Drosophila melanogaster: one gene and its partner. The protein of the gene in region 1 interacts with the protein of each later gene in a pairwise test. Each region holds a gene or a part of one and is shown in the gene's direction. Other genes may lie near its edges.

Region 1 (4,603 bases):
GGCCCAGGTGATATACGCCACCACCTCCAAGTTCAAGCAGGATCCGGAGATGGTGAACACCTCCTGGCCGGAGGAGGTGCTCATGCCGGCCGACGTCCTTGCCGTCGACAACGATGTCGGTGCGCAGATAAATGTGAATCCCCTGGACGAGTTAGACCTTAGCCAACCCATGTCCCCGGAAGACAGCAAGGTGGGCATCAAAACAGAGCGACAGTCACCCGACATGGAACTCCTCTTTGAGGATGCCAACAATGAACAGGATGAGGACTACGAGGACGACGAGGATGATGACACCGACGACCTGATCGTGACCCGGAGTGGACGCAAACGTAAACGGGACGTGGCCAAGCCGGCTAAAACGAAAAGAGGAACGGTGTCGGTGGGCAGAAAGGGGAAGGAGAAGATGGTGGTCAAGCGGGGACCGCCCAAGAGGATATTCAAGATGGAACGCCTGCCGCCGTTTTGCAAAGAGGACGAGGAACTGATCAAGCGCTACATAGTCATGGGCTGCGAGCTGTGCATATTCTTGGCCGAGGACTTCGACGGCATCCGCGAGCACTTCAAGGACAAGCATCCGGACGAGCGGCCCTACATCAAGTGCTGCGGACGCAAGCTCAACAAGCGCTGCCTCATCCAGGAGCATGCGAGGAGGCATGAGAATCCCGAGTACATCAAGTGGGTCTCTCTTACCCAAACCAATTCGAAGCGATTTGATAATTAGCTTTCCTTTCCGACAGATGCAAGGACTGCGGAAAGGTGTTCGCCAATTCCAGCGTATTGCGTGCCCACTGGCTGGTCCACCATGTTCCAGACGAGGAGTGCGACTTCCAGTGCGAGGACTGCGGCAAACGCTTCTCGCGACGCAACCTGCTCGAACTGCACAAGGGCTCCCATGTGCCCGTAAATGAGCGCAAGTTCATCTGCCCGCAGTGCCCCAAACACAATGCGTGAGCCTCGCCAGCTAAACGGCAGTGTTTCCAATGCTTATCGTTCTCCTTTCACACCACAGTTTTGCCACGGAGTACCACATGCAGGTCCATATCAGCATGCAGCACCGCAAGGCGGCCAATATCTGCCATGTGTGCGGCAAGAAGATCAAGGACAAGGCTGTCTTCGAAAAGCACGTTCGCCTGCACTTCGAGGAGAGCGGACCACGGATCAAGTGCCCGCGTCCTGACTGCGAGAGCTGGCTGAAGGACGAGGACAATCTTAAGCAGCATTTGAGGCGCCACAACGACGAGGGCAAGCTGTTTATCTGCTCAGAGTGTGGCAAGAGCTGCAAGAACTCCCGCGCGCTGATTGGTCATAAGCGCTACTCCCACTCGAATGTGATCTACACCTGCGAGCAGTGTGGCAAAACCTTCAAGAAGGACATCAGCCTTAAGGTTGGATAATACATATTACCCTTATTTATTTATGTGTTGTATTAAAGCGATTGATGTTTGCAGGAGCATATGGCGCAGCACACTGGCGAGCCACTCTACAAGTGTCCCTTCTGTCCCCGCACCTTCAACTCCAACGCCAACATGCACTCCCACAAGAAGAAAATGCATCCGGTGGAGTGGGACATCTGGCGAAAGACGAAGACCGGTAGCTCACAGAAGGTCCTGCCCAGCGCCCAAGTGGCGCAAATGTTCCGGGACGATGCCGATGTCGCAGCTATTGCCAATGACTATTCGGGTTAGGCCCGGAAATGCTTAAGGAAATCGATTTGCGGAAACCATTGCTTAGTTTTTGATTGACCTTTGTTTGAAAACAAAATATATGTATAATAGGAATTATTTGAAAGTACGAGCGGTTTGTTGTCATATTGGTGGGATTTTTGGCTATTTACATTTTAATTAAGTTTTTTGAATTTAAATGTTTCATTTAGCTACATTCAGAAATATTGTTTTTGAATTTAAAAAATTTACAGTGTGAATGTCTTGAATTTTTCAATTGGAAAAAAAAGGTATGATGGTTGAAGTATCCGCTTTGTTTATTACAGTAGACTGGTCACACTGCCAGCTGCTAAAATAATAGAAAACAGTCTGCGTGGACAAACATTTAATTAAAATGAATGTAAGCACTTTATTAACGAAATCTTTGGGAATATTTCGCTCATCAGCATTTTATTTGAGCAGGAGTCCGAGATCCCCATCGACATACACACGCTGAAGCTGCAGGACTGGCTGATCAGCCGCAGAATTGTGCCCAAGAATGTGCAGCAGGAGCTTAGGGAGATCCACAGGAAGATTAGCAACGCCCTGCAGGACATGCCCTCCAATGAGCAGCTGATCAAGCTGTTGGCCCGGACAAGTAGGTGCCCAGTGCCCAGAATGCCATCCCACTAATGTGTCCCACTTGCAGATATCAACTACTACCATGTGAAGGAGATCATTGAGATCCTCAAGCAGACGGAGAAGGACACCAAGAGCGTGTTCGGCACCTACGGCAGCCAGCGCATGAAGGACTGGCAAGAGATTAGCCGCCTGTACGAAAAGAATGCCACCTACCTGGCCGAAACGGCTCAGATTTTCGTGCGCAATGTGAACTACGAGATTCCCGGAGTGCGAAAGCAGATGGCCAGGCTGGAGCAGCAGGCGGACGAGACCCAGAAGCGAGCGCACGATCTGAACAAGCCCGAGAGCCAAATCCTGGCCGACCACTCGGCTTTGCTGGAGCAACTGGGCGTCAAGGGCGACAATCTGCATGCCGAGTTCGTCCAGGTTCTATCTGGTCTACCGGAACTATACGATAAGTCGCTGGTGGGCATTGCCAATATTCAGCCGGGCATCGACCTGTATGCGGAGGTCAGCGGCAACAAGCAAGTGCTGCCTATCCTGAACCACCTGGTGGAGTTTGGCAACACCACCGTGTACCAGTACATCCACAAGGAAGCACCCTTGGCCGTCGAGGAGCCGCCCATTCGGCTAAATCTCAGCGAGGGCAACGCCAGCAAGGATGACAATGCTGTGGCCGAGATTGACTTCGGAACGGATGACAACGGCGGAACTTCGTCGACCGTTTCGGCTGAGATTATCGACTACGGGGACTTCGGCAGCGGGGATTTGCCGGAAAGCGACGGCGGCAACATCGACTGGGGCATTGAGAGTGCACCCACCGATGCGGTGGAAATCAATTTTGACATTCCCGTCGAGGAGTACGGCATCGTGGTGGAGGGCACCGGCATGGATGGCGGCACTGCCAAGGGTAAGTTCTTTTATTATACTCGATTTTATGATGGTTAATGGTTTGTTGTTCCAGGCGATCAGGCCTACACTTTGCTGGACTCACCCAACTATCGCGATCGCTTCCTGGACGAAATCTACGAACTGGAATCCTTTCTACGCATGCGTATCTACGAGCTCAAGCAGCTTGAATCCTCCAGCGACATCATGTTCTCGCTGATGGACAACATTGCCACCCACGACGGTGAGAGCATCTGGAAGATACTCGTGTCCGTGGAGAAAATAATCCAGCAGACATCCGACAAGCAGACGCAGCACCTCTTCCAGCTGAAGCACTCCCCAAAGTATGCCAATATGCTGGCCACCAAGCTGCAGCAAATGACAAAGGCCGTGGAGAAGCTGCGCGCCACGCGAGAGGCGCTCAAGCAGTTGACCATCGAGCTGCGGGAGCAGCGGCAGGACCTGAATCCCGTGCTGGAGGAGCTGATTGCTCAGACTCGCACGCTGCAGTCTCACATCGAGAAGGATATATCCAAGCGGTACAAGAACCGGGTGGTTAACTTGATGGGGGGTGTTAACTAATGTAACTTTTTTATGGCTGTTTGTTAAAAATAAACTGGTAAATGGACAAAGATGGTTTTGTAAATTTTTTAAAAGAAGTTTATTTTTATTTTGCTATTTTTATTAAATATACAAATTTTATTTATATTGTGTTCTTTCTTTTAATTGCCATTTTGCTTCTCTCTTTTTTTTTTTTTGTATCCAGAATACAAACCTAATTTTAGTGAAGTTTGTTGATTTCATTTTTCGTTCTCTTTTCTTTTCTTTTCTTACTTTTTTTTTTGTTGCTTTTGTTTTGTTCATAAAAGTATGCTTACACAGTTAACGTTTTAAACTTTCACTTAAATGTAAAATTCTTATGTTGCTGAATTTTAATAATGTGTAAAACAAGAACAACGCTGTGATTAACTTAAATGTTTTGGGGGCCTGTGTCTTGAATATAAGGAAATTCATCGAGATATATTGATTAAACCGGATGTACACATATGTATGTAGATGTACATCTAGAATGGTAGAATGGGGGAGCTTCAATTAAATCGGAAATGCTATAGAGTAGCTATACAAGGTTTGGGTGTAAAAAGCCACAAAATGTCGGGGTATACATTGGGATATCAACTAGACTTAGGCACTAATCTAACAAAAGTGTGGCTGGCGGTAATCAGCAGAAAGGCTTCGTAAGTATAATCAATTCGTTAACTAAATAGAAAATAACAAGCACTATCGAAAATACAATTAATTATACGGGGAAAGAGGCCTCATGATATGGTTACAACTTTGTGTGGTCAAAGCGTCGTGTACTTTTGTTTTCTATCTATCTTTCGTCTCCGTTTGTGATGCGATTTGTTTGCGATTAAAATCAATCATCTCATCTA
Region 2 (4,188 bases), on another chromosome or scaffold:
CTACCCTCTCCTTTTTTTTAAGCATTTACATTCGAGACACATAAATGTTAAATACCAATGAAAAGCCCCGCGAAAAGTTCGTTGAACCAGACATGGCAAGTTTCTCTCCGAAGATGGTTTGATTAATTGACGATGACCTGGCTAAAGACTTAATGCCGAACTTCCGTGCGAGTGGCAGATATACTTATTATATCAATTAAGGTAAGCAACAATGCTTTCTATTGTCCCCCCCAGTCCAGCGATTCTGCTGTCTCATAGGGTCGGACCGCCACTTTCCATCATCCATCCAACTTAATGTGCAATAATGAGTGTCATGTAATGCCAGACGCGTTCGATTCGAATTGCCAACCAACCAACAAACAAACAAAACTGAACTCAACTCAAACAGCAGCTGCATTGGCGGCTAAAGGAAAATAAAAGAGAAAAACCCAATGCAGCATTAGCAACGACAACAAATTAACATTTTTCAAAACTTTAAAGCCCCGACATGCGTTGACACTTTCGGGGAAAATTGCGTACAATTTCAAATGCAGGCACAAAACTTTACGCGTAATTACGACACTGGGGAAAACAGGAGGAAAATATAAATGGCAATAAGGGGGGGGGGGGGGGCACAAAAAAAAAACAAATAAATAAAACAAACCGCTGGCAAATCGCGTTCGCTGCGCCGTTGACAGTTGTAAAATGGAAAGGTTATCCGGACCCTGGTCGGCAAAAACCATGGACAGCCAACAAATGCGTCGAGGAAAGTGCCTTCGGAAGCTGCAGCTGCTACTGGAGCTACTCATGTCCCATTCCCCATGCCCCCCCGCCACGAACTCAATCCCCTCCTGCCACAGAGACTCCGCCAATGAGCTTCTGTCGTGGACAGTGACTGATGGTCTGGGAGAGCTCCGCTCTTTTCTGCCTCCAATGATTACGATGATGATGAAGACGGCGATGACAGGGCAGCATTTAACCAGCGCTCAGCAGTTAGATAACTATATATAAATTATGGAAGCCAGACGATAAAAATCCTCGACAGATCGCTCTAGAACGTCTACCATAGTTTATAATTCTAAATATACGTATGTTGAAAATGTTTGATTGCAATTGTGAACAAATTATAATTGGTTTTATCTTATTTTCCAATATACTCAGTATTCTGTAAATAATTGACTTTTATTTAAATACCTTTTTAGCTCAATAGCTGTTTTAAATTCAGGAGAAATATTATTTCTATTGAGTGCAATGCATTCGAGCTCAGAAACTCAATCGTTTAGCTCGGTTGTGATTTTCCATACAAATTCGTATGCAAATTCAAAGGTATATATAGCCAATAGTCGGGGCAACAACGCGCTCGCAAGGGAAGCACTTGAGCCTTACTTTGATGCACATATCCCCATTAAGTTGGCCCCCGTCGAGCTTGTGGCTCCCAATGCGGCCATGCAGTAGGTGAGAGAGAGAGAGAGATCTCTTGGCCTCTTGGCCCAGAACCCACTCAAATATGCTAATCCACTGGAAGTCCACACAGACCTCCACAGACAGCCCACAGTAGAGTGCATGTTTCTGAGCTTCAGGAAAAGTAGTTGCATAAAGCTACAATGCCTTTCCAGAATCTCACAGAGGAAGTAATTTGAAATTACGGAAGGACAGGCTTTCAATTACGGTAAGCTAACTTACCGATATAAAGGGAACATTCTGTAATCGTGGGCAATTGACAGATTCTGTCAATGACAGAAAATCAAGAAAAGTGGCTTTATATTCGCAGCTTAAAAATATTAGCCAGCTCTTATCTGTTTCACTTAATTCTTCATAACATACTTGTAATTTGAATTAACCTGAATATTATTTTCTAAACTTATTTATCCAGCTGAAAACTGTCGTTTTTTAATATCTGAAAATTTTCTAGCAGTCTTCAGTTAGTCAGTAGATTTCGTTAGGTTACTAGCACAAAAAAAAAACATTTTGAGTGAACTAATACCACTCAAAACGCCTTGACATATCACATATTTCATTCCCAGTTAAATTTTCCTAAGTAATTTCTTTAAAAGGAAGTGGTTTGTTTTCTTGAACCACGATGGAAAATCTCCAACCGGAGTCGGATCGCGTTGGCCATATTGTCTGGGATGAACCGGGAGCCTCGATTTTTGCCACCGCCTCCCAGGAGCCCGTACCGAATCTTCTGACCGAGTTCAAACCAATGCCGAAGGGCGAGGACGACTGTGTTTCTGATAAGGATGTGTGCCGCATTCTTACACAGTCGTCTGTCGCGGAGAGCTCATTGTTCCGAATGGTCAAACACCAGGTGGACGAAGTGGCCGCCATGCTCAACAGTCACCTGCATCCGCGCCAACGGAAGGAGCAAACCGATGTGGATGTCACCCTCGGTGTAGCAAGGGAACTGGCTCGCCAGCAGGTGGAGGCCAGTAGATGCCTTCAACTTCATCGCAATGTGGAAAATTTGAGGGATCTCGAGATGGAAGTGGCCCGTGCCCACACAGCGTTGGCTGTCAAGAACAAGATCACCAACAATATCAAACAAACGGTGGAAGATAAGCAGCGGGAGCGGGCCGAAGCTTTGGCGGAACAGCGAGCCGTGGAAAAGGAGCTGAAGGAGGAGAAGCAAAGAAGGGCTCAGAAGGCAGCCGTGTTTCGTAGAGATCTAATGGCCCAGATTACCGAGGGGCGTACCAAGCGGATACAAGATCATCGAATAGCTGTGGCCGAGGGTCGTCAAGAGCTAAAGGAATGCAAGGAGATAGTGGAGCAGGGAATCCTAAAGGATGCAGTTACAAAGGCGCAGCAGCGCAAGGTGCTCCTCGAATCCCTAGACCAATCGGCAGCCATGTTGAAGCAAACCCGCGAGGCCTACGCTCTGGCCCAAAAGAATAAGCCCGAGAGAGGACTCCTTGATGCCCTGGGACCCGTTACGGCGGCCTATGTGTCAAAGGCACGGAAACGACGCCTTGATGAGATCGAGGCCAGGGACATTAATGCCGCTCGGCTGGGCTTCCAGCTCAGCCAGATCAAGCACGATCTGGAGTCCCGAGATCAAGTCATCACCAGTCTGCTAATCCGCGAGCACAAGGCCAAGGAGAACGCGAAGGCCTTGGAACAGGCTAGAACCAAAATGGCCAAGAAGCAGGAGATTCGCGAACAGCTCCTCAGCCAGCGGGAAGAGCAGAAGTTCTTCCGAGATAAGGGTGTGCAGGATGCCCTGGTCATGCCCAAGGATCCCATGTGCTTCGGCGAACGACAGTATCGAATGCAAGTGGCCCAGCGGGAGAACACCCGGCGCTTGGATGTCCAATGCTACCAGGACATGGCCCACATGGTCGTGGAGGCCAAGAATAACAGGAAAGCCGCTGCCCAGGAGGTGGTTGACATTGTACAGGAGGTCTACAACCAACAGAATCGCCAGGATGAGCTTGTGGCTATTGAGCGGATGAAGCTGCTCTCCAAGCAGCCACCTGAAGTTCTTTCAGCGCTCAAGAAATCCATTCTCACCGAAGAGGAGATCAAGTCTTTAAACCTTAAGAAGTAGTTAATGAGTTTTCATTTAATACGCGCTAGATGCCCGTATTAAGGCTTGTAGAAACAAAAAATACAAAAAAGTACTTTTTGTTTTTTTCTTCGGGTTATTATTAAACCTACGCCCCCCTGGATGTTGGCTATTATTTATCAAGTATACTACCTCATGTGAAGCAGCCCACTGGCACAGGATGTGCTTAATTTTCCATTTTGCTGCTCTGCACTTTTAAATAGACTTTGCTGGCGCTGCCGGGATGGCAAATGAAATTCACTTTCTTATCCATTCTTTGGCCAAGCTTTTGCAGCAGGTCAGGTTTCCAGGTTTCGTACTCGAGCAACCGGTTTACCGACATTGCAGCTGGAAATTTGTTTACAATAATACGGTTCGAACGCACGCAGATGGGAGCGTAAGTGCACTTTGAAACCGGGCTTACATACATTTCCTTTACTTTCCATTTCTGGACTCATTAGCCGGCTGCCGGAGGAGACAGGTTTATATTTCATAACTGGCTGGCGAAGAAGGCTCAAGAATGTTGGCAAAGTCAGTTTTTTGGCAACCATTTTGGAGCACTCTCTTGACGACCTGCGGAAACTTTCCCTGGCAATAACTTTGGCTCCAAGTTTCAGCTTCAATGTGCAGAAAAAAAGATATATTTATGCTTTCAGTACACTGTA

The links.
Region 2: the proteins of CG30291 (region 1) and CG3610 interact in a two-hybrid assay, tested with the Drosophila melanogaster proteins (one large-scale study listed by BioGRID).

What each region holds. Positions count from the first base shown.
Region 1 is NT_033778.4:21,006,951-21,011,553, reverse strand, and holds CG30291 (uncharacterized protein), read left to right. Parts: upstream 1-1,977; 5' UTR 1,978-2,055; coding exon 2,056-2,061; intron 2,062-2,123; coding exon 2,124-2,298; intron 2,299-2,349; coding exon 2,350-3,192; intron 3,193-3,246; coding exon 3,247-3,752; 3' UTR 3,753-3,799; downstream 3,800-4,603. Other genes in the region: grau (grauzone), read left to right, coding at 1-675, 738-947, 1,010-1,385, 1,449-1,685. UniProt on the Drosophila melanogaster protein: Substrate adapter of E3 ligase complexes mediating ufmylation, the covalent attachment of the ubiquitin-like modifier UFM1 to substrate proteins, and which is involved in various processes, such as ribosome recycling and reticulophagy (also called ER-phagy).
Region 2 is NT_033777.3:14,843,148-14,847,335, forward strand, and holds CG3610 (uncharacterized protein), read left to right. Parts: upstream 1-1,895; 5' UTR 1,896-2,059; coding exon 2,060-3,526; 3' UTR 3,527-3,590; downstream 3,591-4,188.